2 linked regions of the Xenopus tropicalis genome follow. The protein of the gene in region 2 interacts with the protein of the main gene of each other region in a pairwise test. Links are inferred from orthologs where the notes say so. Each region holds a gene or a part of one and is shown on either strand. Other genes may lie near its edges.

The links. The genes of interacting proteins can lie anywhere in the genome.
Region 1: the proteins of erbb2 (region 2) and gapdh interact in a protein complementation assay, tested with the Homo sapiens proteins (2 studies listed by BioGRID and IntAct, with this or other methods). The link is inferred for Xenopus tropicalis from reciprocal best matches to the Homo sapiens genes ERBB2 and GAPDH.

What each region holds. Positions count from the first base shown.
Region 1 is NC_030683.2:10,005,703-10,010,694, reverse strand, and holds the start of gapdh (glyceraldehyde-3-phosphate dehydrogenase), read right to left. Parts: upstream 3,181-4,992; 5' UTR 3,133-3,180; intron 1,995-3,132; coding exon of another isoform or gene 1,898-1,994; coding exon 1,895-1,897; intron 1,816-1,894; coding exon 1,709-1,815; intron 1,608-1,708; coding exon 1,517-1,607; intron 1,426-1,516; coding exon 1,310-1,425; intron 674-1,309; coding exon 592-673; intron 3-591; coding exon 1-2. UniProt on the Homo sapiens protein: Has both glyceraldehyde-3-phosphate dehydrogenase and nitrosylase activities, thereby playing a role in glycolysis and nuclear functions, respectively.
Region 2 is NC_030686.2:9,878,458-9,883,469, reverse strand, and holds the start of erbb2 (receptor tyrosine-protein kinase erbB-2), read left to right. Parts: upstream 1-2,006; 5' UTR 2,007-2,162; coding exon 2,163-2,235; intron 2,236-5,012. UniProt on the Homo sapiens protein: Protein tyrosine kinase that is part of several cell surface receptor complexes, but that apparently needs a coreceptor for ligand binding. Essential component of a neuregulin-receptor complex, although neuregulins do not interact with it alone.

The DNA.
Region 1 (4,992 bases), on a different chromosome or scaffold from region 2:
GTCTGGGAAGAGAGTTCAGGGTAGATACTTAGGCAGCCACTATTGTACAGTCTGCTACAGTGCATGTAGATTAAAGGAAAACTGTACCCCCAGAATTATTAAATAGTTCAAAAAAAAAAAAAAAGGTGATGGGTTAAAAAAGCGTTATTATATATAGCCCTTTTACATCCTTTCCCTTCATCCACCATTTAGTGATGGGCTGTGTGCTCCCTCAGAGATCAGAGGTAGCGTGGGAGCAAAAGGCAGGACTCAGTCCATTCATTGGCTGATGGGACCTAGCATGTATGTGTGCCTTGGCTTGTTTGTGTGCACTGTGAATCCTATGATCCCAGGGGGCGGCCCTTAATTCATAAAATGGCAGTTTTTAGTTTAGGATTACCCAGTAGCACATACTACAAAAAAGTAAGTTAAGTTATGAAAACTTGCACAAAGCAGGGTTTTTATGTACAAGCTTGTTCACACTATTTTTAGAGAGACCTACATTGTTTGGGGGGGGTATAATTTCCATTAAGGTCACTCATACAGGGTGAGGGGGGAGACAGTTTGCTTTAGGCTCTATGTCCCAAGCTGAATAAGCCCCACTGCACTTACCATCAGTCCCTCCAGGATGCCAAAGTTGTCATTGATGACCTTTGCAAGAGGAGCCAGGCAGTTGGTTGTGCAGGATGCGTTGCTGCGGGCAAAGCAGGGGAAAAGGTAAACTAAGCATCACTCCCTTATTCCATCAGAGTAAAGAGGCCAGCCCATATAGGGAGGACACATTACTGCTTGTATTTGGGGCAAGGCCCTGTAAAGGCAGGCCCAGGGCTGGGAAGGCAGAGCCACTTTGCCAGTTGAAGCTAGCCAGCTTATGTAGAACAGTAATTGCCTGTGAGACTTACAGCATTAACATTCCTGAGCTAAAGAAAGTGGCAGAGAATGGGCAGCCTACATCAATGCCTGCCTACAGAGGCCTAAGCACTAGCCAATTACTGAGAGGTTCCATCAAGTACAGAATGGTTTGGCCAAGCAGCAAACCTAGAACAGGCTGCAATTTTATTATGGGCAGTAGAGGGAGCCCCTGCCTGATCAGTATTTGTATAGACAAATATCCTGATAAAAAAAGGTTTAAGGATTTACAGCCTTCAGGCTTAGAGTTTTACATGGTTGTTATAGTAAACAAGCCCTTATTAGATTACAGAAGCTGCAAACCATGAGCTATTGAGAACTAAAGAGTTAACCCAGTAATACAGAAGCTTGCAGACAGCCTGTAGCATTGTGGTAGTTCGCTCCCCCTTTAAAGGAACGCCCATTTTTACCCCACACTTACCTGACAACGTGAAGAGAGTTATCATATTTGTCATGGTTCACCCCAACAACAAACATGGGGGCATCAGCTGAGGGGGCAGAGATAATGACACGCTTGGCACCTCCCTTCAAGTGCAACTGCAGGTAAAAATTAAAAAAAAAAAAGTCCAGGGTGAATTCTAGATATAGAAAGCCAAATGTTATGGGGGGGGGGGGTGTAACTACTTACACCGGCCTTCTCTTTGGTTGTGAAGACTCCAGTAGATTCCACCACATACACTGCACCAGCATCGCCCCACTTAATGTTGGAGGGGTCACGCCTGGGGAGAGGAGAGAACTGTAAACATCCCCCCTGTGATTAGATTCTGCTGCAGGAACCCAGTCTAGAACCAGGCCAGGACTGAGCCACAACCTCACTTACTCTTGGAAGACGGTGACTGCCTTGCCATTGATAACCAGCTTGCCATTCTCAACACACACTGTTCCCTTGAATCGGCCGTGGGTGGAGTCATATTTGAACATGTAAGCCTGCGGAGAGTGGGAGGGGTTAATTCCCGAGCATTTTATACTCCAGAACACAAAAATGCAGATGAACGGAGCCACCTACCATGTAGTCCAAGTCAATGAAGGGGTCATTGATTGCAACGACTTCACATTTGCCGCTTAAAACAGCAGCGCGGGTCACCAGGCGCCCGATGCGGCCAAATCTTAAAAAGAAAAAATGATTTCTATCGTTAGATGTTTATGCGCTTAACCCCTTGTGCCACTGGCAAGCAGTAAGAAGATAAAGCCTTGCATCATAAGTGATGCGACGTCACAGCTAGATGTTAAAGGGGAAGTTTAGCCAATGCACTGAAACCACAATGCAACAGCTTAGTCCTTTGATCCCTATATGTTAAACTACAATTCCCATAACCCTCCATAGAATCAAGGCATGCTGGTTCCCCTCATTGGTTGGCTTGGGGAACCCCCAAGCCAACCAATGTTTGTCCACAGTGCACTGGCAATTGCCGACTCTTGCTGGGCAGTGTTGCCTGGTGCAATTGGTTGATCAGCATAGAAGTAATGGGGTGCACTGCTACCCCCTCTTTTTAAGCAGTTAGGGTGGGAAGGGCACCCTACATAGCTGTCATTATAGTGAATAGCAATAAACAGGGGCCAGTTACATAGAGAATACAGAGACCTAGATCAAATGGATCCCACTATTCTAAATGGCACAAGGGGGGGGCACATGATTTAGGCAATCTGTCACTAAGAAATATGCAAACTTAATGTACTTTGGTTTACTTGCCCTTTAAAAAAAAGGTCTGTGCCGCCATTAGCACAACACCTGCTGACACAGAAATCTCCACTGACCCAGACTCAGTTGAGCCAGCCTGGGGGGGGGGGGGCAGTTTATCCAAGCACTGCTCACGCAGCACAACCTGAATAATGGCTGTTATTACAAGCAATAATCAGTCTGCCTGCCACTGCCCTGTTATTACAGGCAATAATCACACAGCCTGCCTGTTGCGACTCCTGACACTGCCCTGCATGCTTCGAGGCACAATACGAGTGACTGGCTGCACATTCAGGGCTGAACTTTGCTCGGGGTGAAGTTCAACAGTGAAGTTCAGCGACGCGTAATGAGGACAAACAGGAGGGTGTGTAGTAAGGCTGAGAGATGAGTGGCCAGAGTGACGGGAGCAGCCTCCATTGTGGGGCAGTACTGGATCCGAGTCCTGGCAGAGACGTGCAGGGCAGAATGATAATGTCCCTGGCGTGGGTTACAGCAGCTGGCATCAACACCTCTATTAATAGGAGCCCTACTTAGCCATGCCAGGGGGGGGCATCTTAGTGTCCCACTTTAATGAGAGAAGTCTCTAGAAGGTTCACGAGAGCCCAGTCAGACTCTGTGCTGTGAGGATTATGGTCACTAACCAGAATAAAACAGCCAGGGGACTGTGCCTACGTGCGGCTGCCACCAGGGAGCAGGACGTGACTCAGCTTCCCCACACTTGTGCAATTACTCCTTATTCTGCAGCAGCGAGGGGAGGGGATTCACCCAAGGTGCCGTGCATCAGCCCCCCAGGTACAGCTCATCAATAGGACACTGACAGTGCAAGGGTGACCCTGGCCCAGGATACACTGTGACCTTGGGGTTGTCCTTGAGAGACATCAGCAGCCAGACACTGGGGACACCCCCATGCGCATTACTGTACCCCCCTCCTGGCAGAAGGTGGAGCAATGGGGAGCCGCAGCGGATGGAGAGGAGGGGTTGGGGTGTGAGGTGGGGAGCAGTGACTCAGTGGGACGTGAGGAAGCTTCACACTCCGCATGGTTCTGGCAGGGGAGGGGTTAAGGAGCAGCAGCCATTTTGAAAGAATAATCGGCCTGGACCATTAACCATTTATGAAAGGTCTGTAGCTTCATTACTTATAACCCCTCAACTGCCAGAGCCAAGGGGCATCTTACACTGGCCAATCGCTAAACCGTGCAGAGAACACTATCCCATCGGCCTTTAATCTGCCAAGCCATTAACCCCCCCCCAGCTGTTTGTCTGGGTCCATTACCCCCTTATACCCCAGCATCTCCCCCCACTCACCTGCATATTACCCCCTTAAGCCCCAGCACCCACCCCCAATGAAGTTATTAACCCCTTAACTTACCCATTGATTCCAATCTTGACAGTCATTTTGGTGTCACTTGGTTTAGTTATCAACCCCTAAAGGCAAGAAAGGAAATTAGTGGGGGGGGGGGGAACAAGAGGAGGGTACCCCGTGCCCAAGTCACTCTCCATCCCATCTATTGGGCACATCCACCCACCCCTCTGTGCCCCCAACAACCTACCTTTAATATTAACCCCCACACCACTGCACCTTGAATTGGTCCCCCTGCAGCTAAATCCCACCCAAAGGCACCCATATAGCCCATACCCACCCACTAGAGGGCAGGAAGTGCCCCATTTCACCCAGTGTCCAACCCAAATCATTAATACACAGACTCCTGATTACCCAAGGTTCCCACTTCCCTATATCTACCAGAACCCCATTACTCATCCCACCCTAAAGCCTCCCCAATCTAAGCACAGGCAGCCCTTACACCATCCCATCCTTAGCCACTAATACAGTAACCCCATTACTCACAAACACACTACATTGGAAAAGTACCAGTAGCACAGAACTACAACTCCCATCACTGTCAGTTGACACCGACATTAGTACCTTTAGCAACTGCAAACGAAACCCCCTAGGAGAGCATATAGTAGGAGCTATACCCAAGCCTACCCTGCCGAGCCACACCCCCAACCTAGGCTCCACTCCTCCCGCACTCACCTCTCGTTTCTGTGCCCTGTTGCAGAGTGACGAACGGATTGCCAGTGCGCCTTTATATACCCGGCAAAGCGGGACAATGTAACCCCGCCCACCAACAATCAGTGACAAATCGTGGCGTGAGCAGATAGAGCGCCCCGCCCCCTCAGCCTGACACCGTTAGAATGCCTACGTGCTGTTCCCGTAACCCTTGTAAAAGAAGCGCATCCGCCTCCCAGTCATTCTTGTTATTTCTGTTTTCAGGGAGGCACGTCCCCCCTCCACCTGTACATTATGGATGATCCCCACAGTCTCCTCTCAATGACACAGCTCCATCTTTATTCTCTCCTGTTCATACAGTGTCGGTTTAATGCTACCCCAGTGATGGGGCTGTGTGCAACGCTCACTCCCTACC
Region 2 (5,012 bases):
TTCTTTGGAACCCAATCCCCACCCTAAAAGCCAATAATTGCAATAATAAACAACTTACCGTCTGTAGCTGTGGGTAGAAATAACATTCTTGTCAGGTGAAGTACAAGGTGTATCACTTCTTGGCCTTTTGGCCAGGGCCGGAACTAGGGGCAGGCAGAAAAGGCACTTTCCTAGGGAGCAACGATGGAAGTGGGGGGGTGCCAGGTAGGTACCTCTCCTGCCTACCCTTAGTCCACACTCCCTTGTTATTGCCCCCACTGGGGGCAAGGTTCCCCTCCAGCTGGGGGCGATGTGGCCATCCGGGTTGCCTAGGGTGCCCTGGTCGGCTTAGCCCACCCCTGGTTTTGGCTAATATCAAGTGTTGTATTACCTGGTATCATTATGAAGCTGGTATCATTACAAAGGGCTGGCAGCTTGATGCCCAAGCATGTTTGTGCCCCAGGCTTGAAAACCCTAGGATGCCCCAACCCACAGTGGGGAGGGACACTGTAACGGCCACGTAGCCAGGGGTGCCACTGCCATAAAGGGAGAAACTCTCCTCAGGCAGCGGCACCCAACAAGTTACCGGGGGTGGAAAAAAAACACTTAAAGAGCCAAAATTCTGATTTTTCAGTTGGAATTTCAGCTCTTCTAATACAGACAGTGCTATTGTGACCACTGCACTAGTAATGCAACCCCCCCACCTGCACCAAAGCACGGGAAGCAAGGGGGCAGCATGGAAAAGCCCACCTCAGGGTGAGCAACATTTCCCCTGCACATAGTGCACTTTACTTGCTTTCACTTTTATGCCCCAGCCTTTTGGCCAATGGCAAGGAAATTTTTTAAAATCCGGCCAATATTGAGACATTTGTTTTGTTACTGAGCTTTTATTTTTGTGTTTTTTCTTCTATGATCTAGTGCAACCTACGATCTGGATCTATCCATTTTTTACAATCTAGCGCAATATACACTTATGGATCTGCACGCTGGCTTGAGGGGGATAATGTGTGGCCATTCGGCTCCTTTCCCTTAAAACCTGGCCCCACCATAAACATACAAGACTGAAGATTCTCTTGGGGGTCAATGGAGCTCTTATAGCAGGGCCTCAACTAGGGGTAGGCAGAACAGGCATGTGCCTAGGGTGCAATGGAAAGGGGACCCCTAATTTGTAGCTCCTGGGGATCTATTCTCCACCATGTTTGCTGCCCTAGGCTAGAGGGGGTGGCGCTGACAAGCAGGTATGAATGGGCCCAGCACTGCCTTATAGGCTTTCTGGATGGAGGGTGAGGATAAAGGGGTAACCCTAGCCCTGCTGTGAAGGGAACCTGAAGACCCTCGCCCCTGCCGGCCTTCTAGCTTGGGGGGTCAGAGATAAAGGGGTTCTCTCTAGTCCTTGGACAAAAGGCAAGAACCTGAAAATTCTGGCCGGTTGGTCAGGTTTTGGGCTCTTCCTTTTCATTGCACATTTGCACTTGTGCACCATGCACTTTTTTGCACTAGGTTATTTATAAGGGTGAAGACACACAGAGATACTAGTAGCAGCTACTTGTCGTGGCTACTAAAATAGACAATGCTGATCATTTACTGATAGTTGTCTCTATGTGTGTTTAGCAGAGGCAATTCTCAGTATTGTCTATGGCAGGGGATTTTCTGGGGTTTAGTAGCTGTGAAAAAGTAGCTGCTACTAGTAGCTCAGTGTGTCTTCACCCTAATACATACATGGGTTTCAATAAAAAAAAAGACCAAGGTATGTAGGTGAGTGTGAATAAGGAATTGTGTAGGTGGGCATCTATTGCTTATCCAGAGCTGCCAGTCACTACTTGCCAGGAATGCTAGGAGCCTACAGCCTAGGGGGTATGACTATATTCTAGGGAAGTGGGGGGGAGGGTAGATTTAGCAGCTGTGAGCCCAAGAGCTTACCATCTAGAGACGTTTGAGCCCCACAGGGGTGAGTTAAGCAGAGAGAGCAGGGAGTAGAAGTGAGTGCCACTCCTATAAGTGTCTGTGTCCAGCCCTCCGCCTCTCCCTCCCCTGTGCCCCCTCCCTGCAGGAAGTGCCTGTGTAGGAATGAAGCGGGGCAGCTACACAGGCAACTGAGAACTTCTTTCCCGGAGCAGAGAATCAGGCAGGGGGGCCGGCTGGCAGCAGGGGGGCTGGCATGGCACTGCGGGGGCACTGACACTATGGGGTTACGGCCATGGCTCTGGGGGCTCTGCGCCCTGCTGCTCCTACTGAGGGGACGCGCCGCCGAGGAAGGTAAGGAGGGTGCGGGTCGCAGCGTAAGGTTCTGCCCATGTACTTACAGCGCGTCCGGGGAAGAGTTTGGAGGGAATCGGGGGTGACCTTTATATAGTAGGGAGTTCATCGGCTGCGATTTCAGTCCAATCTGAGTCACTCCAGCTTTGGTTGCGCTACAACTGACGCAAGTATTCGGGTGCAACAGTAGGGGACGCAGGTAAAGCATTCCTGTATACGCAGCCATTGGAACCTCAGCAATATTAATGAGACTAGAATTAAATAAAGGTGCTCTATAGCCTTAATGGCCCAGTGTGAAAAATGATTAGTGCGACAGAGATGCTAATTGCCCTTGACCAACTGCATAGAAGGATTTCATTGGGGTTATCTCTAGAAGATTGGTGTTAAGGTGGCCATACACTTTAAGATCCGCTCGCTTGGCTTGGCTAGATATCGGTCAGGCATGGCCATCGTTTCTACCCCTACACGGGCCAATAAGCTGCCAAATCGGTCCAAGGGACCCATATCGGCCCGTGTATGGGTACCTTTACCGGATGGGTGGGCACATTGTGCCCCCTGTTTGCTCTGCTCTGTAGGGTAAAACAGTGACTTTTGTTTCTGCAAAGTACAGTGTTTTCCTACCTGTGATGCTTTCTGTACTATAATAAACCTATATTATATATCACTATAACCCAGTGATCTCTCGGGGCAACATGTTGCTCCCCAACCCCTTGGGTGTTGCTCTCAGTGCCCCCAAACCAGGGAGTTATTTTTGAATTCCAAAGTTGGTTGAATAAAAACAAGATTTACTACCAAATAAAGCCCCTGTAAGCTGATAGGGTGCATAGAGGCCCCTAATAGCCAATCACAGCCCTTATTTGGCACCTCCATAAACTTTTATGGTGCTTGTGTTGCCCCCCAAGTCTTTTTACATGTGACTGTGGCTCCCGAGTAAGAAAGTTTGGGGACCCCTGCTATAACCAAAAGCAACTCTGGGTAAAGAACCTGCTAGATAGCTTGGTAAGGGGTATAGTATACAGGGTACCATTCAGTTGCATCTCTGGGCAATGGCACAAGGGGTGATTGCAAGCTCTCCCCCCAAAACACACATAATTGCCTCTCCATTGACCTGGATGGTCTTCTGAAACCTGCCCCAAAATCAGACAATTATTGCTCAGAAATGCCAACTGAGCAATTCCAAGTGATAACTGTCTGACCTGCGAGTGGGGTCCAAGGGCAGTTATTATTCCGGGCAACGGAAGGGCAATTGCTGGAAATCTCAGGGGCAGCAATACATTTGCAATCACCCCATGTGCCATTCCCAAGCACAGTAATTCACCTTGATGGCGGCTGCCAACTACTGTGTCCCCCCCCCCCAACCAAACTGTGGGCTCAGAGCAAGTGTTGGAAGGGGCCCAGCCTGAAAGCCATTGAGGTAGAATACCTATTGCCCCCCCAAAGAGTGTCCCCTCTAAGCTGTGCACACAAATTTGGAAGCCAGAACACACACAATATAGTGCAAAGAATCTAAAAGCACAGTTTACTAATTTTTTGGACCCACCAAATGCTTTTGGGCACCAGAAGACATTTTTTTACTGAAGGTCGAGGATTGTGATGAACATGTTGGGAGATGCTCAGGGCAATTGTGTATGTTACGAGCCCAGAGGTGTGTGTTCTGACACTATAGTAAGAGCTCACGTGCTGATGCCTGAAGGTACCGGTGCTGATGTTGGTTTATTAGAAAGTAAGGGTTGCTGGTACCTGTATATTAGGAGAAGGGAAGGGGGTTCTGGTGTATTGGATCAGCAGGAGCTGGGTCAGGGCTCAGCATTCCCTCTAACTCCCTATTTGTGTGTGTGGGTGCACAGAAAGGGTCACACTTTTGCCCCCCTTAGTGCTCTTGCACTTCTGCCCAGGAGATACATAAATTACCCCTTAAGTTTTTCTACACCTCAATATGTTGTATAAGCTGGTCCCCGCTTTGTATATGCATGCACACTACTGCACATTGGTCTAAAAATGCTACATGGTTGCTTTGGGGTAACGGACCCTGGCAACCAAAAAACAGATTGTAAGGTTTTCCTTTTATGGTTGTTTTTTATTGCTTATATCTGATTTCAGGCACTCTACTAATTATCTTCCAGTCTAAACGTCCCCATACACAGGCCGATTGTAGCTGCCGATATGGGTCCCTTGGACCGATTCGACAGCTTATCGGATATCGGGGGAAGATCCACTCGCTTGGTGAATCTTAACGTGTATAGGGACCTTTGCTTCCTAACATTTGCCTGGTTACTAGGGTATTTAAGCCCTAGCAACTACATAGCTGTTAAAACTCCAAACCTACCAGCTGCCAGCGTAACTGCTGAGGGAGCAGCAGTTGTGATTGCATCTGGGCCTGCCCCCCCAGTAGGGCCCCCTAAATTCACCCCCCTGCCGGAGTCACCACCCGTACCCACCAAGACCTGAAGGTGAGAGCAAGCGCACAGCACATCTTCTGGCAGGGGGCCATACTGGGGGGTAGTGATGTGTGGGTCGACATTTTGTGGATGGGCCAAGGGCCGTGGGCATAAATAGAGGCTTCCAGGTGCAGAAGATTGTGGGCAGGGAGGGCAAAAGGGAAAGCTGAGTCCAAACTCACCGTCGACCCGCCAATAGTGTGCAAGTGTCAGCCCCAACCCACCAGGGGTGTTTCAGGCCGGCCCACACATCACTACTGGGGCGGGCCTTTGTCCAATAGTTACAAAATATGAAAAATATTCATAAAACACACAAAAAAGAAGACCAACTGCAAATTG